Linked DNA regions of Macaca fascicularis. The protein of the gene in region 6 interacts with the protein of the main gene of each other region in a biochemical or structural test. Links are inferred from orthologs where the notes say so. Each region holds a gene or a part of one and is shown on either strand. Other genes may lie near its edges.

Region 1 (4,572 bases), on a different chromosome or scaffold from region 6:
CTAGGCCATAGGGCATTCTAACTTGTAGAGACTGGATATATAAGTAACAATTAGAATATCAAAGAGTGGCCAATGAGCTAGATAGAAAACTTGGAGAGTGATGTTCTACAAGCTGAATGAGAAGAAATTATTTCAAGGAAAAAAGAATGATCAACCATGTCAAATAATGCTGATCAGCCGAGGAAGGAAAAGACTATTAATTGAGTCAAAATAGAGCAGAAAAAGAACTAGAGACAGAGAGCATTCATCCAACAAACACTGTGTGCCATCCTGGTCAGGCCCAGGCACTGTTCAAAGTAGTGGACACACAACAGTGAACATCACAACCTGTATCAACACCTGGACGGAGCTTACATGTTAGTGGGAAAGGCAACATTGTATATGTCGAGATATGACAAACTCTCAAGATAGGTGGCTTTAAATGGGACAGCTTCTGTCCCATTACTTAAATTACTTTAAGCACTTAAATTACTTTAATCGACATGATGCAAACAGTTCCTAGACCAATTTCCTTGATATTGGAAAACTAACAAAGAAAATTCGTCACCATTTCTAGCTGAAAAAGGGACGGGTCAAGGTGATCTTACGAAATCAACTTCTTCCCTGTGGTCCAGATTCCAGGGTGGTAACACTCAGCGGGAGCGTTTAGTTGACAGGTTTTTAAGATGGAAAAATGGCAATATATTTGTATGCTTACAGGTTGGGCCCAGTAGAAAAGAAAAAAACCAATGAGATATGAGAGAAAGAAAAGTGGCTAGAGTGACATCCTTGAAGAAACAAGAAGACACGAGTATATTGTACACATGGGGTTGGGGGGCGACCTCGCATGACAGCAGGGACATAGCAGACACATAACAGGTTGTGGATGGCAGATTATATGGCACACAGGAACATGTGCAGATTCTCTTCTGGATGCTTCTATATTTTTAGGAAAATAAGATACAAAGTCATCAGCTGAGAGTGAGCATGAAGGAGGAGGTTACTGAGGATTAAACAGAGAAACGAAGGTACAAAATAGATTTCTAAGCAGGTTGTAGAGGATAGGTACAGTGAAATGCAGAAGTGGCACCAGGTAACATAAGAGATTAGCAACTGGGAATTTAAAATGCGACCACTCAACATAAGCACAACTGACAATTCATAAGAACCAAGTCTCAGGCTTTAAGTTTTAAAAAGCAAACATCGCTAAGCAAATTAAAATTTGTTAAAACCACTTCCACTCAATTTTCTCCAAAGTTTTGAACAGATCACGTGAAGAGTCAGTAGATGAGGGGCTTCTAATCTAGTTTCTACCATATCTTTCTTTTGGCAGAGGCTTAATTAAACCTTTCAGATTTTTTCACCTACGAAATAGGGAAGGTATAGTTTTCATCTGTTAAGGTATCTATGATCAGTTAAGTTCACACAACTAATACCTGAGGGACCATTACCTGTTAGCATAGCTGCTTAGTCAGTACTGGGAAGAGGTCTGCTTTCAAAGCACGCTTTTTGGAGTAATCGAGTCTAGCCTAATCTAATCCTGATTTTAACACTATCCCCAATGAACACAGCCAAGATTATCCAGGTTTCCCTTAGGCACAGCCTGCATCAGTGTGAACACTGCTCTGACCTGGAGGAACCCCACTTCCACAGTTTATTTGGAAGCATTCACATTTCCTTTTAGCCCAGCCCTTAAATTACTTTAATATACATAATCCAAACAGTTCCTAGACCTATTTCCTTGGTAGTGGAAAAAATAACAAAGAAAACTAATCACTATTTCTAGCTGAAAACCGAACCCCTCAAGGTGATCTTAAGAAATCAACTGGCCTGCCACCGTGGCTCACGCCTATAATCCCAACACTTTGGGAGGCCGAGGTGGGCAGATCACCTGAAGTCAGGAGTTAGTGACCAGCTTGGCCAACATGGTGAAATCCCATCTCTACTAAAAATACAAAAATTAGCCGAGCATGGTGGTGGGCGCCTGTAATCCCAGCTACTCAGGAGGCTGAGGCAGGAGAATCACTTGTACCCGGGAGGCAGAGGTTGCAGTGAGCCGAGACAGCGCCACTGCACTCCAGCCTGGCGACAAGAGCGAAACTCTCTCTCAGAAAGGAAAGGAGAAAGGAAAGGAGAAGAAAAGGAGAAGAAAAGGAGAAGAAAAGGAGAAGGAAAGGAAAGGAAAGGAAAGGAAAGGAAAGGAAAGGAAAGGAAAGATCAATTTCCCTGTAGTCCAGATTCCAGGGTTGTAATACTCAGGGGGAGCTGTAGGTACAAAAGCAAGAGAAAAGCACCTGGCACCAAAGAGGAGGGCCGTTCTCCACAAGCATCATTCCCAGTGCGTCTGAGTCATTACCTGGCCACAGGTCCTCCTGTACTGTCCATTTTCAGTTAGCAGCCCTAGCACTGTCCTCTGCGGGGGATCCTGGCCCAGCGGGGCTCTGGTGAGTATCTGACAAGCATCGGGACCTCGGGCCACTGTAGCCAGCACAACTCCATTCTTGGGGTTGCTGCAGTGCATTGCCTCAGACTCCACGCGCTGCTGCTACCAGGGAAAGAGAGACAAGCTGGTTACTCAACCCCGTCCACCCGGGGCTCCAAGGACACAAGAGAACCTCTAGGAGGGAGAGCACCAAGCAAAGGGACTAACACCAATTGCTGATCTTCCCAGCAATTGTTAGTGCTGAAAGGGCATGAGCCACCGCACAAACGATCAAAGTTGCTCTGAATCAAAACAGTCATTCCAATCTCTGAGGGTTTTTTTTATCCCAAGACCTCCTGTTGGGCTGGAAGGAGAGAAACATTCTGACAAGCCTTCAAGTCGGGATACTAAACCCACGTTACCTGGAAGTTGAAATCTGGGAGCCCCTGTCTTTCCCAGCAGAGATACTCATCTCCCCAGCCCCCAATAAAAGATCCAGGGTACATGACTGCGGGAAAGCGGGTCTCCATCCCAAGTGACGAGCAGGGTGGTGCACTGCGGCCTCCTCCCACCAGATAGGAGGCCTCAAAACCTGCCTGGACCCCAAATCGGGCCCAGCTCTTCCCGGCGATATCTTTCTATGTATCTGGAACAACTGCCAAGTGCACTGGAGGATCGGGTTAAGAGGTGGCGGGCAGGGCGGAGCAGGGCCGGGCGGGGCAGGGCGGGGCCGGGCGGGGCCGGACTTGGAAGGGCGGGGCGGGGCAGGGCAGGGCGGGGAGGGAGGTACCAAGTGATGAGGGATTCCAGCCTGGGAGGCGACCCGGCTCAGCGCTGCGGCTCAGCGGCCCACCCGCGTCTGTTGAATCGGCCAATCAGCGGCGCTCCCGGACCGCTCCCGGAGGGAGCGTTTCCATGCCGACCGCGGCTGGCGTGCGCTCCCCCCGGCCGCATCGCCATGGCGACCTGCTCACCTGACTCGCTCCGGGTGGACAAGCCGCGACCCCTGGGCGTTCAGGCCCCTGCGGGACTAACGGGCGACGGCCCTCCAGCTCCAGCTGTGCGTCTCCGCCCGGGCCAGGTGGGGCCGGCCGCCGCAGTCTGCACACGTACCCTCTGGTCCGCGCCCCCGGCCTGGGAGGGCGGACTCGCCCACCCCACGGTGGTCCCGGCTTTGGAAGGGACTGTTTCTGTGACCCGTTCTCCCAACAGCCGCTAACAACCCCCTGTAACGTCTCCTGCGCGGCCCGCTCCTGAGAACCCTGGCTCGGGAGAGCGACGCGGGGCCCTCGGGGCTGCGCAGGCTGCGGCGCCCTGCCCACGCTGGCCCGAGGGCGCGGCTCGCTCTGGGTCGGCTCACACACCTACGCTTCCTGCCGGGCGGCGGCCGGGACGCGGCGGGGTGGCCCCACGTGCAGTCGCGGCAGTGTGGCGTCTCCATCGCTGGGGGTTCTTGCGGGCGGCACCTGTCCTGCACGGCTCCCGGTGCATGTGGCCTGCGAGGCGGCAGAGATGTGGGGATTTAGGGTCGCACGTGGTGCTCGAGGTCCCCACGAGAAGTCTTCCCCCGCGGGCTCCTGCGCAACTGCGTGAAGCCGGCCCGGGAAAGCCAAGATTGTGGCCCAGGAAGAGGAAGGAACGCGGGCAACACAGCTGGGGCTTGGGACTCTGAGGGGGTCGGTGGCAGCGCTCCGGGCTGGGGGCTGGGCGGGCGGCCTGGCCGCGTGGGGAGAGGAGTCCCTGGGGTCCTTATACGGGGGAGCTCCTGGAAACCCGGGGGCTCAGACGCCTGCATAGGTGACTGGACAAGCCAGGTGAAAGAATCGAACTTTTTTTTTTTTTTTTTTAATGTATATATGCACACACACATTACCAATGCTGTAGTCTGTTACTACTTTTGCTTTTTTGTTTAAACATCCACCCCTAAATCTCTAAATCAGACCCAAAGTGTAGTCAAATAGCCACTTTATGCAAGCAACGGTTATCGCCTTTTTTAAAGTGTGCGTTATTAACATTTTTACCAAGCAAACTGAGTGTGGGCATTGCTTTAAGGGGAAAATAGAAGTATTCTAACAAAATCTCGGGTTGAAAGCCGTGCAGTTGACTCAAATATTAATAAGAAGTTGGGAAGCATCTGGAGAATCAAGGCTGGATGAGGGAGGAACACAGAA
Region 2 (3,791 bases), on a different chromosome or scaffold from region 6:
GGCAACTTCAGAATTCTTCCATCCAAATTTTCAAGAATACAGACTGGATTAATACCACCTTTCTAAAACAAAGCAAGTCATTTTAAAAGCTAAAGGACCCATGTTAACATAATTTGATTATCAAGTTAGAAAACCACAATTATATTTCTCATCTAATTTAGATTCTGGAAACAGTAACTTAATGAACATTACAGGATACTTCAAATTAACCTGTCATAGAAAACTGTCTCCTGGGCCTTCGAATCCTACACCAATTCTATACCTCTGGGTTTTGTAATGTTTAGTCTTCTGTAAGTTTTAAGGTGAATTACATGGGATTACTTATTTCTATTAACCTAATTTCAAATCTAAAGGCAAAATTAAAATGCATTTTTCTCTTTCCTATTCCCAGAAAAGATGGCCTTAGATGCTACTATCCTATGATTCTCTTTTTGTTCAGCTCATAATACAAATAGCTTATTGTTCTTCTAAGCTGTCTTATAAAGCAATACTATAAAATTAAATAGATAAAAGTTATATGGGCTATGAAGATTGTTTGCTGGTGGTAATTTTTAAGCTTGATTCTGAATAGACTTAATAAGAAGGGTACTTGGAAGAGGTGGCTCAAATTTTGCTCTTTAAGGTGTCTTGAAATTATAGGCTCACTCTCCCAAAATTTCAAAAGGCCTACAACTTTGGCTCTTAAGAGCAAAGCAGTGATAGAAGCTTTTAGAATCATTTCAAAAAGCAAGATTTCATAGTTTTCCCCCTCAAATGGTTCACTAGTATACTTGCAGAATGAAGGCAAAGGGAAAACCAAGAATAAAACTAGCTAAGTACTCCAGCAACTGGGCTTCCTGCTTATTTTCCCTGTTCTAAAGAAGAGGCACCATCCTGCAATAAATACTTCATAGACAACTGGGCTTTTGCAGTGTCAGTCGGCACTTGATGCCCCATATCTCCTGGTTCTTTTTGTTGCCAATAGTTGGCCTGGCAATGGTGGTGAAATGGGAGCAATTAATTTGCAGGTGAGGAAGGGCTTCTTTTAACAGTTGAAGGGTACCATCTGGCACGATTCCAAAAACTTGTAGTGTTTTCAGTGTGGGAATTTCTCCAAGTTCACTGGAAAGGAAGAAAAAGACTTTCAGAATGGCAGTATCTATGGAAACTGTTTGACTAGAGTTATATGACCCAAATTTTACAATTTGTATCATCTACAAAATGCAGTCTGAAAATACAATTTACAATAAATGATTTGAGAAAATAGCAAATTAAACTGGAAAGCACAGACCATATCGCTTGAGCAACAGGCATTAGGAAACGCACTGCTGCATTTTATTGAATGAGGTTCCTAATAACCTTAGAAACTCAGGTTTCTTTAAGAATCCAACCATATTTGCTTCCTTTCTCCTGTTGTGATTTATATAGTGATCTGAATAGGGTTACTGTATTGTGAGAAGAAACTAGCAAGTGAGGGATGGTAGAAACAAATGTTTGACTGTGGCACCAGCTGGAACCACCACAGGTTACATGCAAATTAAGGATATGAACTTGACCTTTATTTGAACTAGGCTCATCTCTCAAAGGGAGATGCTGTCAGGATTGATGAACTTCTTAATAATGGTTCATAGTCAACAAGTCCATTATGTGTGATGAAAACTACCACTGACTTCCCTAAGATATTTTAGATAGGGTTATGTAGTTGGGTACAGGTGGAGAAAATGGGTTAAAAATCACACCTTTTATAGGAGGCAATAGCCATCTTACCTCCCTACGTATTACCATTTTTTTCTGCATAGATAAGCCAGTCCCTTTAGGTATTTCACATTAGATGAAATTCAACCCTGTTAACAGTGAAATTCTGTTTCACAAATTCAGTTTCTCAAATTCTGTTTCTCCAAAGTAAATACTGTTTGGTGTTGGTAATGATTTTTTTCTTCTTAACTCAGATCTATGTGCCTAGAAATTCAACTCTCTGATCTGTATTTGCTCACGGTTGGGACACACAGTACAAAGTCTCAGGAAAGGGAACATTTATTTTGGAATTTCAACAAAGTCCTACTACAGATCAATGAGCACCTCAATGACCTAAAGTCAGAAACATCCTTTATATCTTCACATTGTCAATAATTACTTTTAAAAAGCCCCAAACCTTCCTTGTAACTGTCACCTGACCTCCAGTCTTTCTTCCTTCTAGCCTGTTCTATATACTAATTTCCAAGGCATCTTCCTAAAGCCTAGCTCACGTTAGTCATTCATCTGCTCCAAAACCTTTGATGCTTCTCTCGTGTTTACAGAACCCAGGCTGTTCAGCTAGTCTGAAGACCTTCCGTGTCTAACCTGCTCTTCCAGTCTTCCCACTACTCCCCGAAATGTATTTATTCTACATTCCACAAGGTGTCTTAAACCCCACAAATGTTTAATATACGTTAGCTGAGTACAGGATGAAGGCTAATTTACAAAATAAAAGCACTATCCAAATGAAATAAATATGCTTGTTCACAAGGGGACAGTAAGATCTAAAGGCATATAACCAAAGAAAATCGGAAAGAACAAATTGCTGTCATTAAGTAAACTGCTTTCTGGAATGTAGAAACAGTATCAAAGTAAGATCACAATACACAGATACTTAATCACTTACGATGACAGCAATCCAGCTCCAACTTTGAATCCCCCATGTGAAATTTGAGAAACATTGTAATTACTATGAGAATTCTGGTTCTGGTATATCCAAATTAGCCAAATTGTGAGCCATTCTGCGCTGGAGAATATTTAAGGGAAGAAACTGTAGGTGGAGTAAGAAAAGGAGGAATGGCAGATGGCAGAGGAGGACATGTTCTTACAACAGCATTGGGAAAGAGATTTGGTGAGGAAAGAAATGAAGACCAGACTCTCAGAACACACTCGGGTGTTATATATAAGGGGGTTATATAAGATAAAATGATGGATGAAGAACTAGTTCCCAAGTCAAAAATCCAGAAAGTCTAAGATTTTAAGGAGAAAAAAAATACACAAAAAACAAAGCCTTCTGGTATGTGCAACTCAGAATAAAAAATTTGCAAGCATCTTTTAAAAACTACAATGGAAGAGACTGAAGAACAAACTAAGGGATAGCAAATAGAAATAAGTAGTTCAAGAGGCTTTATTTCTAATGTAAGAAGTGTAAAATAACACCAATGTCTTATGTATATCGAATTTTAGAAAATAAAAGATATTTATGAACTCACAGGATTGCTCTTTACCTTATCTATACAATAATCCTGTTTTCCTTATAAAATCTTAAATGCCTCAACTACAAATGCTCCTACCACAGAAGTTTTTTAGTCTTATCTCAGATTAGTTTACTATCTCCAGTTTGGGTTTCTTACTTGAATGAGAAATAGGGAAGAATTAGAAGGAAGTTTAGACATAGAGAAGAAGACCAATTAAGAAGTAAGAGAATAAATACAATGGGAATAGGTCCTGGGGAAGAAAAATTTATAGTTTCCCAAGTATTTTAAAACATTACTACAGAAGAAAGACATTCAAATTGTATTTTCCCACTTCAGAGAAATAGATAGCCTTAAGTTCTTTAGCATAGGTGGCTCTCTGGAAATTACTATGGAAACACCCTGGAAATTTTATTATAAACTTCAAATATATCAGTTGCCAAAATGATTGAAATTAAAGTCATTCTAATTCTCATTTTATCTTGAGAGACTTTTAAGCATAAGGTACCAACAAACTCATCTTGAAGGATTCACAATGCAAATCAGTGTACTATTTACACAATACCTAAAGAAATACACTCTTTTACCTTAATGTTCAAGGAC
Region 3 (2,451 bases), about 5.4 Mb from region 6:
TTACATGTTTCACGTGGCTGCTTTTGTGCTACAACAGCAGAGTTAAGTATAATCCTGCTATAACCCTTATTTGCTTCCAAAATTGTGCATTTGTTCCAACCCATTTAATATATTTGGGAACAGTTTGATCATAACGCAGGCTTAATGTTTGCTTGTGTATGATTTCATCCTCGAGAAACATTAGGTGAATATGGGAAACTGTACCCAGCTGAACCAAGCCTAACTAGTACACAAAACTCACACTTGAACATGTACCAGCTACCTCACTTAGCTGCCCACCTGTGTTGAGCAACCCTTCCAACATCCACTTCCAAAAGCAAAGTGCATGTCTTCAAGATAAAAGGCCGTATTTATTGTAATATTTATGTATTTCTCAACCATTTGACATGTAAAAACCAAGCTATCCTTTTTTTAACATGTGTCACTCATTTGAGTGTTGTGCTTCAAGCCCCATTTTTCCCATGAGACCTGTGGTTTTTATTGTGCAAATTGCATGGCATAGTGATTTTCAGGAACACATAGGTCACATTATAAAGAGAACTGATTATATTTGGGTCAGAGACCATATAGCCCGCAAAGCCTAACTATCCAGCCCTTTACAGAAAAGGCTCAATGATCCCTGCTTTAGACCACTGGCTTCCGCCTCCTTACCTCATACAGTCCAGAAATAGACTTAACCCACACACCAATCCAAGAAGCCAAAGCCAGTTTTATTTCACAATCTTTATTACAGTAGGATGATGGTCCTGGGCCACCAGCCTAAACCTTGTGGCCTTAGGAAAGACCTGTGTCAACAGGGCTTCCTCCCTCTCTAGACAGGGGCTCAGCCACCTCCAGGGCATCCCTGTTGCATTTTCTCTGCTGGAGGATGGGGCAGAGGGACAACAGGAGAGGAGGGCATGACCCCACCCCAGGCTGTAGCAGCTCCTCGGCCACAATGATCCTTTTGCCAGTAGCAGAAGGGAGGAAAATAGCAACCACCAGGGTTACCACCACTTGTGGGATGGCCAGGACCCCGTTATGTCCTCTTACAGTTGTGCTCAAAGCAATTAATAAATTAAAATGAGCCTTCAGCAGCAAAGCTGTCAATCACACAGAAGCTGAGCAGAAAACAAAGCAAAGAGGAATTTATAGCTTCTCTGGCTGAGGCCTAGGCCCCTCCCTCTAGGAGCAGCTGTCAGCACGGATTATATAGGGGCCTCCAAAGTACTGAGGAGTCATCTAGACTATTCCCCCTCATATGTGTCTATCATGCATGAAATTTCAGAGGGACCCCAATCCAAATGCAATAACCCTAGAAGGGGCAACACCTTTAGAAGGCACTAGAGCATTTTGGCAGTTGAAAACAGCCCCCAGGGGTGGGGGGCGCTCAAAAGGAATGCTGGCGTTATGTATCCAATTCTGTCCCATCAGCCTGCCCCACCCCCAGCTAGAGTTGGGAAAGGCGCTGCTGGTCAGATGCAGGGAGGAGGAGCTTGACTACCCACCGAAATGCAGACGTGGCTGGCCAGGCCCCTTAGTGCACACTGCGGGGATGGGTAGGACCAGACCCCTTGGGCTTTGTGAAGGGGGAACAGACGCCCCTTCAGGCTTCAGATGTGGTGTGGTTTGTTCCTGGAGGCAGGGAGGTGGGTGGCAGCGGCCCCTCCTCTGCTTAGTGGCCACTCCAGAGGGCCTCTCCAGGGCTACAGGTGTATGGCTGTGACATCTGTAGGAGTGCTGGTCTGGCTGGGCCCTTGGCTGCTGGAGCCCCGGGGGGCTTTGGGCGCTGGGCTGGAGCTGGTCTGGGCGGCTTCCCTGAGGCTCTCCCTGAGTGCAGCTTCGATCTGCTCCTGACAGGCCCGCAGGCAGTCCTGGGAACATGGGAGAACAGTGAGGACTGAACACTCCCCCCCATAGCATCTGGCAGCAGGTGCAGGGGAAGGACAGCTCCCAACACATGGGGAAGTCTGGGGAGGTTAGGCCACAGCCCAGCCCCAGGAATCGCTCTTCAGTTCTCAGAAACTAGCAAGAGGATGTGGCAAGGGAGTGTGAGAGCAGCCCTGCATCTGACACCGAATCCCCCACCCCCACTCCAGCACACCACTTGGCAAGAAAAGAGCCCCTAGGGCCAGTGCCCTTCACCCCACCCAAGATACTTGCTCTTCTCCAGACCAAGGCAGGAGATAAAAAGCCACAAAGCCCCAAGGTTGTGAAACCAGGACTCAGGACCAGGTTGGGGTTGGAGGTTTCCCTCTACTGGAGGCTCAGGGCATAGCACTATATGAATGGAGAGGCTGCTGCCCAGCTGCCCAGCACTCACCACTTCAGTGCCAGTGATCCCTGCCAGCAGCTCTGTAAGCTCATCCCCGGACATGGAGCAGGCACCCAGGCCTTGCACTGCAGCCCCAATGCTGCCCGTGGCGATCATGGATGGCGGGTACATGGCAAAGGTATAATCTTGGAGAGGAG
Region 4 (4,546 bases), on a different chromosome or scaffold from region 6:
CTTGCATGGCAGAGCCGAGGATGGTGGGCGGATACCAGGAACTCTTCCAGGGGGAGCAATGGGCAGGTGGGACAGTCCCAGAGGGAGCCCCAGGTGGCCCATGGTGCAGGTTTGCTGGGTGAGAGACAGACACCAGACGCCCGGGCTCTGGGGGCAACCCTTGGGTCAGGTATCCCACCCAGGCGGCACAGACCACTGGGCCTCTGACTTGGCCCCCTGGAGGTCGGGCCCTTTCTGGGGTTACAAAGTCTGAGCTGGGAGGGAGCAGAGGTGCTCAGGGGAGAGGCAGGAATGGGGAGTCCCCTGCCTGAGGAGCCAGTGCCCCCATGCAGCGGGAGAGAGTCCTTCTCTTGGTCAGCCCCAAGAGGCAGGGATGAAGCCCCAGTTTTGGCTGCAGACTCTGTCCTGAGCACTGGGCCGAACCTGCTGCCTCTGTCTACATCTCCTCCCACCCCCTCCCCTGCTGCCAGCTGAAGTCACTCAGGCTGAAAATAAAAATGCTCCCCCCACCCCAATACTTAGCCTCAGGAAGGTTAACTCACAAGAGTCCCTCTTTCACAAAAGGGTTATTATCAACTGTGGGCCTCTGGAATGGGGGAGGGGCAGTTGTTGGAGGAACTTCTGGCTGGGAAGGGGTCGGGGTGGCAGTCACCTGCATCGTCCTGTGAGTGTGCAGGAGAAGGGGGTCTGTGTCCCATTCACTCACTCCATACCGGGGCCATCTGCCTCCCAGTGGACTTCGGACTGGGTGTCGGGGCTGACCAAGTCCACCCAGCAGGGAGGGTCCTGGGCTCTCAGCTGTCACAGCCCACCCTAGACACCGCTCCTCCTCTGTCTGGTGTCTGCTCCCAGCTCGAGGTGGGACCCAGGCAAGGTGTGCCCCTCTTCTCCCACTCCCCAGCAAAGTCTCCCTTTTGTGAGTGTAGCTGCCAGTACCTAGGTGAATGGTTGAGTCCCCTCGGAGCCTTCCCGCTCCTTGGAGGCACACCTCCAACTGACCTCCGCACTTCCCCCAGAGGCACAAGGTCCTGGGATTGGGCCTTTTAGGACACTCTTGGCCGTCCCTCCACGCCCCCCAGAGTGGGGCAGTGCATAGGTGGGGCACGGCCTGAAAGTCAACCTAACCCACCCCCGCCCCGCGCAGTGGAGGCAGAAGTCCGGGATTCGTCCCTGACCGGTCTCGGGCCTGGTCTAGTAGGGTCAGGGCAGAGCGAGTCCAGAAGCGCCGGGTCACTTTACAGATGGGGAAACTGAGGCCAGAGAAGGCGTGGCCCCGGGACGGGCTGGCTGGTGGCCGGGCTCCGTTAGCGGCCCAGCCCAGGCCCTAGGCCGCCGGGGGCCGCCCCTCAGCCCAGCCGCGCGCTTCCCGGGCGCGCTCCGCCCTCGCCGCGGGCCCGGGCGGCCGCGCGGTGGGGACGCCCCGGGCGGCGGAGGCGGATGTGGGCGGGCGGCTCCGGGCGCGGGGCGGGCGCGGGGCGGGGAGAGGGCGGGCCGGCGGCGGCGGCAGGACCGAGCGCGGCAGGCGGCCGGCCCAGCGCAGCCAGCGCGGCCCGAAGGACGGGAGCAGGCGGCCAAGCACCGAGCGTCGGGCACCGGGCACCGAGCGGCAGCAGCACGCGAGGCCCGGCCCCGAGCAGCGCCCCTGCCCGCCGCGGCCTCCAGCCCGGCCCCGCCCAGCGCCGGCCCGCGGGGATGCGGAGCGGCGGGCGCCGGAGGCCGCGGCCCGGCTAGGCCCGCGCTCGCGCTCGGACGCGGCGGCCCGGTGAGTCCCCGCCCGCCGCGGCCGCCCGGGCCCGGATTTCCTCCCCGCGGGCCGGGCCGCTTTGTTCCCGGCCGGTCGGGCCGGGGCGCGAGCCGCGGCGCCGCCAGAATGGAGGAGCGGGAGCAGGAAGTGGCCGAGCGGGCCTGGGCGGGGAGGGCGCGGGGCGCGCGGGCCCGGCCAAGGGAGGGCGGCCCCACGCCGGGCGCCAGGGGTGCAGGCTGCCGGCCCCAGCCTCCCTCATGACCTTGGGGAGGCCGCTCCACCCGGCGAGGCCGGGGCCCGGGAGAAGGGGCGCTGCCGGGCCTGGGGCTGGGGCTTGGGGTGCCCCTGCGGGCCGTGGGGCTCCCCGGGCGTTGGGCCAGCGAGACAGCCGGCGGAGGTGCCCCGGGGTTAGGAGAAAGGCTCGCCGCGGCCGGCCTTCAAGTTTGTGGGAGGGCCCCGGAAGGAGACTTCATTTCCCACGGACAAAAAGTTGTACGTGGTGGCGGGGTACCCAGGCTAGCCACAAAGGACTGACCCTCCTGGGCCCCGGAACTGCTTCCTGTCTTGGGTGGGCCCTGGAGGTCCTGCCTGCTCGTCCCAGAGGCCGAGGCTTAGAGGGCAGCTGGGGCTTGCCCCTTAGATTGAGTATCCTGGGGCGCTAGCGAGCCTTGGTCCTGTCGGGACGGCCCCTGAGTGCTGCTGTGGTAAGCGGGGTTGGCTTGGGCCCCTGCTCTGTAGCCAGAGGCCGCCCCACATTCACTCCTGGGTCTCTTGGCCTTGCTCCAGGTGGCCACTTCTTGACTGCTTTGAGTCCCTCATCCAAGCAAAGGGCGGAGTGCATTGGTGGAGGCCCGGTTCCCTCTCCCCGGAGCTGTATAGACTTATCATACACCAGGGTTCTGGAGGCAGATGGAGGAACCCTTTCGAAACACAGAGTATTTTTTTTTTTTAAGTTGTGACTTAAATAATAACAGTAGCAAGAATATGTGCTTATGGTAAAGGCAGGTGGCAGGTACGGAGGCTGTGGGAAGTTGGGGTCCCTCCGCCTCCACAGGCAGCCCTGTACTGGCCTGGTGTATACGTTTCTGTGCAGACGTACACCACCCTGTGTGTGCACAGATGTATTTTTACACATGGCTCTGGACAGCTGTCTGACTCTGTCAGCAGCAGGCCTTGGAGGGGCGCAGGCCCTGGTGGGGGGTGGGGGGACATCCAGAGGTCTTTGAGTCCAGCCCTCTGCCTCCAGGCCACGCCCACTCTGTCGTCAGAGCCCCCTGTGCCTGAGGCGTGCGCGGCTGGGAGCCCTGCCCTCCTCAGGTCTGGCCTGCTTTCCATCCTGCTGAGTACTTGGGGCATTTCCCTCTTTGAGCAAGGTGTAGTCTTCCCTGTCCTGGCATTAGACACGAGGCAGTGGGCCTTCCTGCCATTCTAAATGTAGCTTAAGACAGTCAGTGCAAAGCACCCCTCTGTGGGTGTCCAGCCCAGGCCTCAGGAGGCCAGAAAGGTTGCCTGGCGGGAGAGCATCTTGGCTGACTGTGGAAAGACCCATGTTGGGGTCCATTCCACAGAGGTCGTCAGGTATCTCTGCCTGGCCTGGAGGTCCCAGAGAGGACCCTCCTCCCCTCAGGAAGGCCCGTCTGGAAGGGTAGCAGAGGACTGCTCACAGGAAGAGCATGCCAAGTGCTCTTTCTCGGGATGCCAGGGGTTGGTGATGTGGGAACTGGGTTTTGAGGGATGCCTAGGAGTTCATCTATCAGAGGGGAAATGAGGAAGCCATGCAGGATCAATGGATAAAGTGTGCTCAGGTGAGGGCTGGCTGGTGGGCCACTGCAGGGTAGGGGCCTGTCCAGTGCTCCCCCACTTACTTGCTGCCTCCCAACTGCTGTAATTATGGGTCTGTAACCACCCTGGACTGGGTGCTCCTCACTGACCGACTTGTCTGAACCTCTCTTTGTCTCCAGCGCCCAGCACTGGGCCTGGCAAAGCCAGAGACGCCTGGTACACGTTGGCCAAATGAATGAACCAGATTCAGACCGGCAGGGGCGCTGTGGTTTAGGAGGGGCCTGGGGTTTCTCCCAGGAGGTTTTTGGGCTCGCCCTGGAGGGCTCTGGGCTGCCGTTTGCGCCAGTGGCCTGCATCCTGGTCCAGTCTTCTTCATGTTTGAATTTCTTTGCTTTCCTAGTCTGGGGAGCAGGGAGGAGCCCTGTTCCCTGTCCCAGGATCCATGGGTAGGAACACCATGGACAGGGAGAGCAAACGGGGCCATCTGTCACCAGGGGCTTAGGGAAGGCAGAGCCAGCCTAGGTCAAATAAGTCTCAAAGGGACTGCCTGGAGGAGGCAGCCTGTCAGCTGGTGCATCAGGTTAGGCAGGCTGGGAAGGCCTTTTGGGGATGGGGATGATTTGTCCAAAGGCTCAGGGAGGTGGGAATGGGGAGGTGAGCAAGGCAGCAGCTCTCAGGGCCAGGTTGTTGAGGGGAGTGGTGGCAGGGGCTGGGGACTCAGCCTAGAATGAGGAGAGGCCCAGGTCCAGGGAACTGTGTTCAATTACATGGATTTTACACTTGGCAGCCATGAGTGTTTTGGGGGGAGGTAAGGCAGGCCGGCAGTTGGGGGTCAGAGAGCCTAGAGGGATGGCAGCCCACCTGGGAAGGCAGGTGCAGGTGGAGCCCCCAGGCACGTGCAGTGGGTCTCCGACTCACCCTGGGCGAGGAGCTTCCCTTAGCCTGGCATGGCCTCACACTCAGCTTCGTTTGTTTCTCCCAGAGGCTGTGGCCAGGCCAGCTGGGCTTGGGGAGCGCCAG
Region 5 (4,419 bases), on a different chromosome or scaffold from region 6:
GTGTTTTTGGAGGGACAAAAGGAGAAAACGGGAAAGCCTTCACAGATCTAAATGATTTATATAAGTGTAAAATGGAGGATCTTGAATGCTTTTTTATAAAAATTACAGATAACATTAAAGGCTCACCACTCCCACCAAGAATGACTACTTTGCAGAATCAGATTCAGGTTTAAAACCGCTTGAAGAAACCCTACTGTCTGGAAGACTGAAACTGCCAAAAGTCAGATTCAGTAGCATCTATTCATTTGATATTTGCACCATAACAATTTACTGAACACCAACTGTGTGCAGAGTACTATACTAGACCCTGAGTGTATCAAGCAGTGGACGAGACAAACCCTATCTCTATGCAGGGCTTATACCGATGCTCACTGGCATTCAAAAGTGGCTCAACAAAGCAGATGCCAGACGGTGTCCAATACATATCAGGTAACTTGATTGCATTATTGTAATGCAAAGAAGCCCTACAGGCAACATGTGACGGTAAGAACAAAACATGCAGAGAAAGAACATTATATAAATCTAAGAATTCTCACATCTTTTTTTAGGCCCAAATACCAGTGCTTCCTATCTTTGGGGCAGAGCTTAAACATCTAATAGTAGGCACCAGAAGCAATGTAATATATCATTCATGAAAATAAAGACTGCTTTGTAGGGGGATGAAGCAGTAGGAGATTGTGTTAAATGAGGTCTGAAAGCAAAACAGTGAAGAAGCATTATAACTGCCTATATCAGATGCCAGTCTCTTCAAAAGGCAAGAGTCAAGGCCTTTATTCAGGATAGCAAAAGCAAACCTGATTTAACTAGGTACAATGTCTAATGTCTCTTACTCTGAACAGGTTTTATTGCCATACTCCAATAAACTGTTCGTGCATTCACTAAAATATATTTTCACTTTCAAAAACCTTCTTTTACAAAAAGGCAAAGCAAAACCAAAGCCCAAGCATCGGGCTGTGATAGAGATGATTTAAGCTTTACATTTCACTTTTAGAGATGATGTAACCACAGCACGCACACTCACAGTGGCTGAGCCCATTTTGATACAGTCTAGTCTAACCACCTTTCCTGGCCCTCTTTCTGCTATCTTGCAGGTTTACATGGTTTCAGTGACTCCATGTCACCTCTACCATTTCTTTTCTAACTATTATTTGCTAAATAATCCTAAACCAGGTCTACTTTTTCTAGATAGGGCATAAAAGTAAAAACACAACGGATGGGCATTCACTGCGTTGTGCCAGGGCCCGCATTTGGTGAAAGACTCTAAGGACACCAAGATAAACCAAGTCCATCCCTCCTGGAGTTTGCTTGCAAATCTAGCAGGGAAGACAGTAAACAAGCAACTGCAGAGGATATGACACATCTCTCTTAGGGAACGCTGGCTGCAGAAAGAACACAGTAGAGGAAGATTGAACCTTGAACTGTTTTAATGAAAACAGAAGTTTAAGTAGCAGCTCTTACTTCTAATCAAATGTGATGGCGGGAGAAGGGGAATGCAGAGGTGTGGCAGACACTAGCTATGAAGGTCAGCATTGCTGTGCAGAAAGTGAATCGGTGCTAAAGATAGGGAGGGGTGGGGGCACTCAGGACCCAACACGTACTGGGGTTTGTCAGCCGTATTAAGTGCTGGGTTTAACCTAAGGGCAAAGGACGCGCTTTCTAGACTTTCATTTCATAAAGATCCCTCTGTGCTGTGAAAAGTGGACTACAAAGGAGCAGGCGGGTCTGGAGGTGGAGAGACCAGGGAAGAGGCTGCTGTGGAGATGGAGAGACGTGGACAGACCTGGCAGACGTTTACAAGGTCGACAAGGCTTGGTGACTAAGCGGGAAAAGAAGTAGGTGGGCGAGAGGGGGGCGAGAAGGATGTTTTCCGGTTTCCTGCTTGGGTGCCACTTACTGAGAATGGGGGAAAGACGCAGGTGCAGAGCACACCCACTGAAAACAACAGCGCCGAGCGCGAGCAGGGCTCGCTCACTCCTCACGGCCTGGGATTTCAAGGCGACGCCAATCAGCTGTGGCCACGGAGACACAGCCACAGGGATGAGCTGTGAGCACTCACGAAACTCTGCAGGGCCGAAAAGGAATTGGATTTTAAACCCTGCAACTAGCTCTCTGGAAGAGCTAAACCACACAGTCAACCCGGGATAGTCCAGGCCCCAGGCATGGAAGGCAGCAGAGACGGAAGCCTCGCCCAAAATTGGAAGGATCAGCCCCGAGGGCGAGTCCCTCACAGTCAGCACCCGGCCGCCCCAGCCCTCGCCGCACCGCTTCCCGGGGCCACTCCTCCGCCGGCGGTAGCACCGTCTGCTTTCCAGCTTGCCGCTGCCTCCCGCTGCCTGGCCCGGCCTCCTGGCCCCAGGCCCGGCCGCCAGGTCTCTGGCCCTCGGAGTTCGGTGCCCCGTGCCCGACCTCCCGGCCCCGGCCTCGGTTCCCCCGGGCCGGCCTCCCGCTGCCTGGCCTCCCCGGCCCCAGGCAAGCCTCCCGCCCCCGGGTCAGGTCTCCCTTCCGATGACCTGAGGCCTTTCCTTAGGTTACTCCCAGGTCCCTCTCCCTAAATCAAAAGCCTTAACCCGCTGCCTGGCTGCCCCGGCCCCGGCCCCGGGCTTCACTGCTCGCTGCCGCCCCGGGTGAGGTGGCAAAACAAAGGCTCCGCCGCCCAGGTCCCCGGGCGGGCGCTGGGCCTGGGAGGACGCAGGGAGCGGGGACAGGGCTGACCGCCCGGAGCGAGCGCGGCACTCACCGCACAGCCTTCTCACACCTTCCACAACCGCCTCACAGCAGCAGCCACCCGTTACGATCCGCGTCTGCACCGCTTCAGCAGCCCGCCGCCTGGGGACGTGCTCCAGCGCTAGCCCCGCCCCCGGCCCGCCCCTGTCGGCCCCGCGCGCCCCCTCCCTGGGGCCCGTCCCCCAGCTCCCGCCCGCCCGAGAACCCAGGGCCGGGCTGGGCCCCAGGAGCCGCCAGCCCGCTGCAGCCCGCGCCCGCGCCCGCGCCCGCGCCCGCGCCCGCGCCCGCGCCCGCGCCCGCGCCCGCGCCCGCGCCCGCGCCCGCGCCCGCGCCCGCGCCCGCGCCCGCGCCCGCGCCCGGGTCCCCGCCCCCCGAGGCCCCGCCCCCGAGGCCCGCCCCCGAGGCCCGCCCCCGAGGCCCGCCCCCGAGGCCCGGCCCCGCTCCCCCGCCCCGGATTTGAAAGCTGGGTCTTCCTGAGAGTCCGCGGGCTTCCGCTCCCAGCGCGGGATTCTGGAGGTAATTTGAGGAAGAGTTGGAAACCGCGCCAGGCCCAACGGGGACCTAGAAGGGAGACAAGGCCAGGCCTGCTGCCCAGTGTGAGCTCTGAGAAGAAGAGGAGCGGGCCGGGACGCCCTCCGGTAATTTCCGTCCCCCCTCCGGTGACCTGAGGCCTTTCTTGGGGTTACCCCCAGGTCCCTCTCCCTAAATCAAAAGCCTTAGCCTCCTGTCGCCAGGGTGCCGGGCTAGTAATAAGCAGGTCCACGCATGCTGGACACACGGGCTCAAGCCACTCCGCGCATCAGTCAGTACTACAAACCGTACGCAGTAGTGTACTTAATCCATATATAAACGTTACATGTTAAGCATCCCACAGCAAACAAAGTAGCATTTAACATCCCGAGGAAAAAAAGAGAGAGGACAAAGAGATGAACAACCAATCCAGAGGAAGTGAAGAAGAGAAGAAGAAGCCTGGTTTGGGCCCGAGAGGTCCTTCTGCAGAGACAGCGTCAATTAAGACTGTTTGGAGCTGCCGAAGGCAGAGTCCGGGTGAGAACTGACAGTGGAAGAGGGCGCTTGTTTGTGTCCTTACCTGAGTGGATGCGGACTAGTTTTTTACTTGTTTATTAAAGTATAGTATCCTTGTTGGCAAATGCCCTATGAAATATAAAATGGGGTCTTTTCCTAAGATGGAGTTATTAATAGTTACGTGAAGGGTGTGCTATACACTGCCGTACTGATCCCCTTCCTATTTTGGGTCATGAACTCATTTTAGACCCTGAAGCAAACTGTGAATCGTTTTCGCAGAAGAATTCTCCAACACGTGAGCACGACATTCTGCATCAGATTTCAAAAGGTTCTTGACATTCAGAAGTCAGATCAGGGACCCCATGGCAGAGCCTATTTCTAACGCTTGCGCCTATTCGACTATAGGGACTATATTCTGCACAGAAATATACTTAGTTTTATGTATCGTTACAACTTGCTGAGAGTTTATTGCATGCTTTTACATTTTCATAACACATTTGTTTGTTTCATCCTTTCAACAATCCCTCGGGGTAGGAATTACAATTTAAAGAGGTTAAGGCCAGGCGCGGTGGCTCATGCCTGTAATCCCAGGACTTTGGGAAGCCGAGGCAGGTGGATCAGGAGGTCAGGAGTTTGAGACCAGCCTGGCCAAGATGGTAAAACCCCGTC
Region 6 (4,495 bases):
AGCAGGCAGGAAAGAAAAAGAAAGAAAGGAAGAAAGGAAGAAAGGAAGGAAGAAAGAAAGAAAGAAAGAAAGAAAGAAAGAAAGGAAGGAAGGAAGGAAGGAAGGAAGGAAGGAAGAAAGAAAGGAAGAAAGGAAGAAAGGAAGGAAGAAAGAAAGAAAGAAAGAAAGAAAGAAAGAAAGAGAAAGAAAGAAAAAGAGAGAGAGAGAAAGAAAGAAAGCAAGCAAGCAAGCAAGCAGGCAGGAAAGAAAAAGAAAGAAAGAAAGAAAGAAAGAAAGAAAGAAAGAAAGAAAGAAAGAAAGAAAGAAAGAAAGAAAGAAAGAAAGAAAAGAAAGAAAGAAAGAAAGAAAGAAAGAAAGAAAGAAAGAAAGAAAGAAAGAAAGAAAGAAATAAAGAAAGAAAGAAAGAAAGAAGCACCTAGGGAGCTTTTTCAAAATATAGATTTTGAAAAATCCCTGCCTCTTGAGACCAACTTAATCCAAATTGAAGTTTCAAGCAAGTGTTTGGCACCGTTCCTCAGATGGGCACTCTTGGGGTGCCAGCCAAAGGGGGACACACTGGTGTGTTTGAAATGGACATTCTTGGTCTCAATACATCATAGGCACAAGGAGGAGGAGCCCGCCTAGGGCTTCATCAAGGAGCTGGATATTCCCTGGCTCCCGGGAGCTCAAGACAGGACTAGGATCTAGGCAGGTACCCTCTCCTCTTCTACCACCCATCCTTCTCTTATGGCTCTTATAGGCCTCTCCTCGCCCATCAAAATCTGCTCTCATGCTCATTGTCATAATAACTTTCAGCCCAAAGAAAACAGAAACGTAAACCCGTGTTTTACAAACAACTGAAAATAGCCTCCTTTATTGGCTTTGCTGCCTTAGACTTCAGCCATATTTTAATTTCCAGTAAGAGCTCAGTAAATACTGTTGAATCTAAGGAGTGCTCCTTTGAAGGGGTGGTAATGGCATAGGGGTTATTCTCGGAGTAGCCGCGGCGGTTCGCGCCGGCCAGCCCCACTCCGCGGGAAAGCCGGTGTGCTATTACCGCCAGGGCCGGGAGGGGGCGCCGGCCTCCAGGAAATCACGCGCGGGGTGGGAGGTGCGTGGGCAGAGCCTCGGACTGCGGGAGGGAGTAGTGATGAGTCAGTTTCCTGCAAGGCGCTGCTCGCCCGCCAAAACTCTGCTTCCACTCCGGCTGCGCGTCACCCTGGGGTGGGGAGGGGGAGCATGGGAGGGGACAGCGGGGGGGCGCCGCGAACACGTCACGCTGAGCCGGCCAGGCTTCCGAAACTCCCGCCGCTGTTGGGAAACCGCGCGCTCTTGTGCCGTCTCTGACACACACACACACACACACGCACACACGCGCGCGCGCGCACACACACACACGCGCCGGGAGCCGACCCCTCCACCTTATCTCCACGCCCAAAGCATGGGATGAGTCAGATCCCTGGAAAATAAAAATAGACGGGAGCAACGAAAACAAAACCGCTCGCAAGTCCTCCCAGAAACGCGACGTGGAGGGAGGGAAGGAGAGGGGAAGCTGCCTGGGCGCCCCAAGTTCCAAACCCAGCTCCAAGATGCTTTTCCGCACGAAGAGGGCGCAAGTGTCCCCCAGGGGTTCTGGACCGAGAGGATGCGCTGTGATCCGCGCCAAGTGGCGGCGCCCCAGGGGGCGACTCGCCCCCCTGCTCCGCTCAGCCCTGTCGCTTTCCGAGAGGGAATCTGGGCTAGGTCGGGGCGCCACCGAGGCAGCTGATGGAGGCCCTGAGCAGCGTCGTGCCCCCCAGAATCCCCACCCCGCAAAGACCTGACCCCTTACCACCTCCCACCCAGGCGTGGGCTCTGCTCTCGCCCCGGAGTCCAGCGCCCCGACCCGAGGGCAGGCTGGGCCGTGATTCTCCCGGCCGCGGTGGGAAAGAGTTAGAGGAGACCCTTGCCCTTCCCCGACTGACAGGCTGGTTGGAGCCCGCCCAGCGCAGAGTCGTGACTCCCCGACCCCTAGCGAAGCGGGGACCCGACGCGGTGTCCTGGACCTCCGGTGCCCTGCTTCCCTGGGAACAAGCTGTTCCAGCCAAATAGGTCACTGTGCCGATGGGAGGACGGAGACCGCGGCGGGGCAGGGGAGAGGGCTTCGGGAGTCCCATTGTACCCCTTCCCGGGCGGGGTTCTGACCTCATACAGTCCGTTCCCTGGGGTCTCCTTGTCACAGTGAGTCACCTCCTCGTTTGTCCTTAGGGGACGTGTCCTGGCACACTCCCAAGGGCCGGGAAACAGCCCGCGCTGACCTCAGTGCCCAGCCAGGTGGTGGACACAGTGGCGTAGAGGACCTGAACCTGGGACCTGGGCCAGGGCGGCGCCAGTTGGATCCGAGAGCCGCCTAGGACCGATCCTAGACGAATTTACTCCACTCCGCTTTCCTCGCCCCTCCTGGGCCCCTCCAGGGACACGGACTTCATCCCCAGGCCGCGAGCAAACTGCGCCTGGGGCCTGCAGCCAACCGCAGCCAAAGGCGAGCTCTCAGAGCAGTCCGGTCCACGCCCTCCCTCGCCCCAGCTGGGTTTCCAGGGGCGGGGATCGTGACCGGGGATCCCTGTACTGGTAATCCCGCTCTCTGCCCCGGGTCTCCGGCACATCCCGACCCCCGTCACCCGCGCACTTACAGATACCGTGTGCGCAAGCCGAGCGCGCACCGATCCACGCCCGTCATTCACCTGCCACAGAAACACCTGTGAACGCAGCGCACACCCGCGAACACGCATCCTCGCGGACACGCACGGACACACGCGGGCACGCTCGGCTCGGCTCTGGGCCGCCGGCCCGGGGTCCCCTGTTGTCTGCCGCCGCTCTCTCACCTCCTCTGAGTGCCTCGGTGCCTCGGCGAATCCGCGCCCAGCTCTGGCCCCACAAGGAACTGACTTCGGCAGCTGCTCACACCTCAGCTGGCGCAGCTCAGCGCGGCCCTGATATACCACCGCCCCGCCCGGGCCCGCCTCAAGGAGGCGGGACCCGCGCTCGGCCCACCGCGCCGCCCGGGACCGCCCTCCCCGGGGCCCAGGCTCCTGGCTGCCCAGCGCCGAGCCAGCTGAGCCTGGCCGAGTTCCAGCAGGCCAGCCGGTCCGGAACCTCGCGTGCTGCAGGAGGGCACTTCCCTCCTCCCCCAGTCCCTCGCCTGCGTTGGTGCGCTGGACATATTTCCCCACGAAGTGAGCCACAAATCTGGCTTTTTTTACTTGGAGAATGAGTTGGCACTCCCCAGGAGGACACAGCACTGTTAGAATGAGCCCCCTTTCTGGCCCACCGTTGATCCACTCTGGGGGTCGGGGAGTCCGACCTGGCAGGCAAGGATTTACCCAATGCAGCTGAAAAGATCAGGAGGATGACATTAATAAATAAAAATTCATAAATAATAAAAACGATGCACCTCTCTGCAATTTCCAGAAAAGTTCTATAATATCACCTCTATTCCCACTGATCCCTCACTAGGTCACCTCTCCCAGAAGCATCTGGAGCACCTAGACACCCCAACAAAGCATCTTGAGGCCGGAATGCTTTTCCAGTCTCGTTTATTTCACAGATGAGGAAATTGAGGTCCACTGAACTTAAGTATACAAAGTTGTTGATTGTCACATGCTTCCAGGAAGGAGGCAATTGGAGACACTACCAGAAAAGGGCAACCTGATCTCCAGGGAAACCGAAGAATTGGACATTGAACCAATCTCTGTACACCCTACACTCACCTCAACAGACGAAACCCCTGTGGTTGCAGCAGCTTTGTTGGCCAGGAAGGGGAGGATTTGACGAGTGAGTTGTCTGTCTCCTGAATACTCCCCACACAGCCCCTGTACGCTTCTGGGGAAACTGGGGCTCAGAGAAGTCTAGTGACCTAACTCAGATCATGCAGCAAAGAAATGACTATAGTTGGAACACAGGCCTTTTGCCTCCTGCCCAGGACTCTCTGCTTGTCATCCTTTATTTCTGTGGCTCCAGAATGACAAAAATGCCAAATAACCCTCATTTGCAGATGGTTTATGGAGATGACATAAATAAAGGACAACTCTGGAAGTGTCTACTGGTGCTTCTGACAGACACAGAGATGAATGACAAGTCTATCCGCTCCCATCTACCGCACACCCCTGCCCTCCCTTGGACTTCACCTTTGCCTCCTTTCTGAGCCTGAAACATTTGCAGTTTTGCTTTTAAAAAATTGCAGAGGATGGATTGTTCATCTGAACAGAAATCCCACTAAAAAACAGAACCCAGGCTTGGAGCAGCTACAATTACTTACATCTCAGGCTGCTCAGAGTCTGGAAATCTCTGCCCAGACATGCCCAGTCTTCTTCCTTTAACGCAGCTGACCTCAGGGAGGACAGGCTTCTTTCTCCTCTGCTGTGTGAATGGGAGCCCGTAGGGGTGGGAGGACACAGCAGCAGACCCCCTCGGCCTGCCTGGTCCTAGAGTCAGGCCAGGATTGTGGCTAAACCCCAGAAAGGCCACAGCACGGCCT
Region 7 (3,791 bases), on a different chromosome or scaffold from region 6:
ACAGGGTTTCATCATGTTGGCCAGGCTGGTCTCGAACTCCTGACCTCAGATGATCCACCCGACTTGGCCTTCCTTGGCATTTATATTAATGGACATTGTCCTACAGTCCAAAGTGATTGCATATCACCTATATTTTTCAGAGTAACTTACTATCATTTGCCAGTCTTGCCACCAAGACTATAAACACCTCACTAAAGCATTTGTTTTTAGAAATGCAGTTCTTCATTACTATTTGTTATAATATGATCATACAGTTGGTTTCTAACATTTGTTTACTACTTGGGCAGTTAACACATTCTCTGGAGAAAGGCAGAGGTTTTTCTATTCTTCTTTCTACCAATTTTTAGCAATACAAAAGTGAAGGGAAAAGGTTATTAGGTTATTATAATTTTTTTTTTCTATGGAGAAATAACAGCCATGCACTTCTGAAGGGAATGAAGTGTTCAACAAAGCTGTCCAAGTAGTAGCCTAACTGCCAAACTTATTTAGGCAAATTTACCTCTCTACCTCCAATACTACCACCCCAAGAGTATACACAAGTGGTAGCAGAGAAACATTTCTTCCCAATCCTGGGAGGTGTAAATGCTATTTACCTTCAGATGCGTACTCCTTTGTTTTGGGGAGCTTAGGAGAGAGAGGAACAACATATGGTACAGATTGCTGAGGAGATCGTTTGGTACTTTGCCTTTCTGTTACATCTTCTTTTGCTGTTCTCAAAGAAAAAACAGTTGTCTGTTATAACGAACTAATATACTGAAGCATTTTCATATCATCAGCATGAAACACTTGTTTCTACATCATTTGCCTACAATACCTTCATTGACAACTTCTCAATTATTTGATGTTCTTGAATAACATGTGTCTATTTCATCCTATTTTATATTTTCACTGAAATAATATTCAAGACTTAAAAGCATTTCCAGAAGGAGTATATCTAGGCTTCTTTATTCTGGGGTTATCAGATCTCTCTAAATATCTCACAAGGCAGTGAGGCAACCCATTAAAATGTGTCTAAAATGGCCTGGGAAAATTGCTCCCATGAGCCGGAGGAGTTAAAACTTCAGAGAAATTAAATAAAAGATATGGCATAATGAACATCCATTTTGTTAAGTAACAATCCTGGCTTAGAGCTACCCTTAAAACAAGTCTACTGCTTACTTATCATTCAACCAAACGCACTTCTACCTAAAGGACCACTCTGTAAAACATGATCCTGAAAGTAAAGACAGCTTCAATTATCAATTATACCCTAAGTATCAACAAATATCCTGATTTAACCTCCAACTAAAAGGACAAATAAGGTATAAGAAAAATCTTAAAAGTCTGATAGTAGACCTCAAAAGAGAAGAAAGATTGCAATGAGTATCAAAGTCAAACTTCATCTGGTTCAAAATTTCAGCTGAGGGCCACGCATGCTGCTCAAAATGTTATGATGAGTAACCTTTAGCTCAATCTAGTTACTCAGTGAATCCCAATGAGTCCGGTAGAGCTCTTACCACTTTAGTTTTATTTTTAATAATGGACTATAAAACCAACAGGCAAAACATATCTCAAATTTCTACAATTAATTAATTCATTAAATTCTAAGGAAAGAAATAATTGGCTTTTCATACCAACTTAATAATATGGAAAATTCGAGTTCTAAAATATAGTTTTCTATAAATGTTTATTTCCCTCAGAATCTTGGCAAGATTAGAAAATGTCTTCATCATTTATTTGTAATGTACTAATGCTTTATGAAAAGTTTACGAAGCTGGGTATGCTCTACTATCTGGGGCTGAAACAAATATAAAATTGACTCGACTTCTGCTTCTGGGTATTGTAGTAAGGCTAAGGGAGGAAAGTGTTCCTACAGAGATAACTAGGAAAAGCCAGGTAATTTACAAAGTATTTTTTAAATCATCAGAGAAGCACTTCCAGGATGACTGATCAAAGACCTCCAAAAATCTACTCCTTCATAAAAACATTGAAAACAGTGGCAAAAACTATAAAAACTTTTTCAAACCTCTGGAAATTAAAGACTTGCCACAATCCAAAGTGTTTAAGAAAAATGAATGGATCTCAGAAAAAAACAGCAAATTCTGTGGCATTTTAACTTGCCCTAATATAATCCCCCTCACCCCATTTTCACAGTAGCCTTGAAAACCAACACTTCACAACTACGGCAGGTATGAAAAACAGCCATGCAATAGTCACTGGATGGGGACATAATGGGTTTGGAGCTCTCCAAAAGCCCCATGCCCAGAGAACTATCACTTAGACCAGTCTTGAAGCTCACTGAAAAGCTCCCTTTCAGGGTTTGTCTTTATTTGACCTAAATTAGAGCTTGTTCTGTGTGAACAACCCCATCTCCAGGGCATCTGATGGGGGAAAATAGTGGCAACTGTTTAACTTTGCAGCTGCCTGAGACCATATTACCAGTCAGGGCTAACAATAGGTTGGCCAAAAAGCTTAAAAGGAAAAACTGGGTATAAGATGCCCCCTAGGAGACTTTGAAAAACACAGACATATTCCTGGGAATCTAAACAGTTCACATGCATGTGCTCGGATGTATATATGCATGCCCAGGAAAGACATGAGAACACCCTAATCTTTCATCTCTGGCTGACCTTGAGGCTCTGCACAAAGTCAACTTACAAGCTGCCTCTTGGAGCACTGACGTTATGTCCCAACACACACAGAAAACCCCTTGGCCAAGGCTGGGAGATACACTGGTTCCAGGTATTTAAGGAAATTTCTACCCAATCATTAACCACATTAAGCTAAACAAGCAGACTTCAGTGACCACTCTTTTTTTTTTTTTTTTTTTTTGAGACGGAGTCTCGCTCTACCACCCAGGCTGGAGTGCAGTGGCCGGATCTCAGCTCACTGCAAGCTCCGCCTCCCGGGTTTACGCCATTCTCCTGCCTCAGCCTCCCGAGCAGTTGGGACTACAGGCGCCTGCCACCGCGCCCGGCTAGTTTTTTGTATTTTTTTAGTAGAGACGGGGTTTCACCGTGTTAGCCAGGATGGTCTCGATCTCCTGACCTCGTGATCCGCCCGTCTCGGCCTCCCAAAGTGCTGGGACTACAGGCTTGAGCCACCGCGCCCGGCCTTCAGTGACCACTCTTAACAAAGAAATACAGACTTTACAGAATTAGTCCAGGAAAAGTCACTAAACGGCACCAGCAACAACAACAAACCCTAGGGAGAAGGGAATCTGATTTCCAGAGTTGCCATATTATATGATTTTTAAATGTCCAGTTTTCAACAACAACAAAAAAAGGAGACATGTGAAGAAACAATATGGTCCATACAAAGGGAAAAAAATCAGTTAACAGAAATTGTCCCTGAGGAAGTCCAGACATTGGACTTACTAGACAAATACTTTATTTTGGGACACGGTCTCAATCTGTTGCCCATGCTGGAGTGCAATGGCATGATCTCAGCTCACTGCAACCTCTGCCTCCCAGGTTCAAATGATTCTCGTGCCTCAGCCTCCCAAGCAGCTGGGATTATAGGCACATGCCACCACACCTGGCTAATTTTTTTATCTTTAGTAGAGAGAGGGTTTCGCCATGTTAGCCAGACTGGTCTTAAACTCCTGGCCTCAAGAGATCGTCCCGCCTTGGCCTCCCAAAGTGCTGGGATTACAGACGTGAGCCACTGCACCCGACCTAGACAAATACTTTAAATCAGCTATTATAAATATATTCAAGGAACTAAAAAATGAAAATCATGTCTAAAGAACTAAAAAAAGGCCAGTGTATTAGTCCGTTCTCATGCTGCTAATAAAGACATACCCGAGACTG

Evidence for each region.
Region 1: the proteins of CDKN1A (region 6) and CCNA1 form a complex in vitro, tested with the Homo sapiens proteins (2 studies listed by BioGRID and IntAct, with this or other methods). The link is inferred for Macaca fascicularis from reciprocal best matches to the Homo sapiens genes CDKN1A and CCNA1.
Region 2: of the proteins of CDKN1A (region 6) and SKP2, one has a biochemical effect on the other in vitro, tested with the Homo sapiens proteins (3 studies listed by BioGRID). The link is inferred for Macaca fascicularis from reciprocal best matches to the Homo sapiens genes CDKN1A and SKP2.
Region 3: the proteins of CDKN1A (region 6) and CCND3 form a complex in vitro, tested with the Homo sapiens proteins (2 studies listed by BioGRID and IntAct, with this or other methods). The link is inferred for Macaca fascicularis from reciprocal best matches to the Homo sapiens genes CDKN1A and CCND3.
Region 4: of the proteins of CDKN1A (region 6) and AKT1, one has a biochemical effect on the other in vitro, tested with the Homo sapiens proteins (2 studies listed by BioGRID, with this or other methods). The link is inferred for Macaca fascicularis from reciprocal best matches to the Homo sapiens genes CDKN1A and AKT1.
Region 5: of the proteins of CDKN1A (region 6) and CASP3, one has a biochemical effect on the other in vitro, tested with the Homo sapiens proteins (3 studies listed by BioGRID). The link is inferred for Macaca fascicularis from reciprocal best matches to the Homo sapiens genes CDKN1A and CASP3.
Region 7: the proteins of CDKN1A (region 6) and SCML2 form a complex in vitro, tested with the Homo sapiens proteins (2 studies listed by BioGRID and IntAct). The link is inferred for Macaca fascicularis from reciprocal best matches to the Homo sapiens genes CDKN1A and SCML2.

Annotation. Positions count from the first base shown.
Region 1 is NC_088391.1:16,020,773-16,025,344, reverse strand, and holds the start of CCNA1 (cyclin-A1), read right to left. Parts: upstream 3,059-4,572; 5' UTR 2,932-3,058; coding exon 2,824-2,931; intron 2,525-2,823; coding exon 2,336-2,524; intron 1-2,335. UniProt on the Homo sapiens protein: May be involved in the control of the cell cycle at the G1/S (start) and G2/M (mitosis) transitions. May primarily function in the control of the germline meiotic cell cycle and additionally in the control of mitotic cell cycle in some somatic cells.
Region 2 is NC_088380.1:36,468,216-36,472,006, reverse strand, and holds part of SKP2 (S-phase kinase-associated protein 2), read right to left. Parts: exon of another isoform or gene 3,104-3,791; intron 1,102-3,103; coding exon 888-1,101; 3' UTR 1-887. UniProt on the Homo sapiens protein: Substrate recognition component of a SCF (SKP1-CUL1-F-box protein) E3 ubiquitin-protein ligase complex which mediates the ubiquitination and subsequent proteasomal degradation of target proteins involved in cell cycle progression, signal transduction and transcription.
Region 3 is NC_088378.1:129,633,347-129,635,797, reverse strand, and holds the end of CCND3 (G1/S-specific cyclin-D3), read right to left. Parts: intron 2,440-2,451; coding exon 2,303-2,439; intron 1,854-2,302; coding exon 1,686-1,853; coding exon of another isoform or gene 1,480-1,685; 3' UTR 709-1,479; downstream 1-708. UniProt on the Homo sapiens protein: Regulatory component of the cyclin D3-CDK4 (DC) complex that phosphorylates and inhibits members of the retinoblastoma (RB) protein family including RB1 and regulates the cell-cycle during G(1)/S transition.
Region 4 is NC_088381.1:172,986,600-172,991,145, reverse strand, and holds the start of AKT1 (RAC-alpha serine/threonine-protein kinase), read left to right. Parts: upstream 1-1,477; 5' UTR 1,478-1,762; intron 1,763-4,508; 5' UTR 4,509-4,546. UniProt on the Homo sapiens protein: AKT1 is one of 3 closely related serine/threonine-protein kinases (AKT1, AKT2 and AKT3) called the AKT kinase, and which regulate many processes including metabolism, proliferation, cell survival, growth and angiogenesis.
Region 5 is NC_088379.1:189,420,439-189,424,857, forward strand, and holds the start of CASP3 (caspase-3), read right to left. Parts: upstream 2,806-4,419; 5' UTR 2,738-2,805; intron 2,063-2,737; 5' UTR 1,895-2,062; intron 1-1,894. UniProt on the Homo sapiens protein: Thiol protease that acts as a major effector caspase involved in the execution phase of apoptosis. Following cleavage and activation by initiator caspases (CASP8, CASP9 and/or CASP10), mediates execution of apoptosis by catalyzing cleavage of many proteins.
Region 6 is NC_088378.1:134,986,830-134,991,324, forward strand, and holds the start of CDKN1A (cyclin-dependent kinase inhibitor 1), read right to left. Parts: upstream 2,929-4,495; 5' UTR 2,703-2,928; exon of another isoform or gene 2,652-2,702; intron 1-2,651. UniProt on the Homo sapiens protein: Plays an important role in controlling cell cycle progression and DNA damage-induced G2 arrest. Involved in p53/TP53 mediated inhibition of cellular proliferation in response to DNA damage.
Region 7 is NC_088395.1:18,113,394-18,117,184, forward strand, and holds part of SCML2 (sex comb on midleg-like protein 2), read right to left. Parts: intron 708-3,791; coding exon 594-707; intron 1-593. UniProt on the Homo sapiens protein: Putative Polycomb group (PcG) protein. PcG proteins act by forming multiprotein complexes, which are required to maintain the transcriptionally repressive state of homeotic genes throughout development.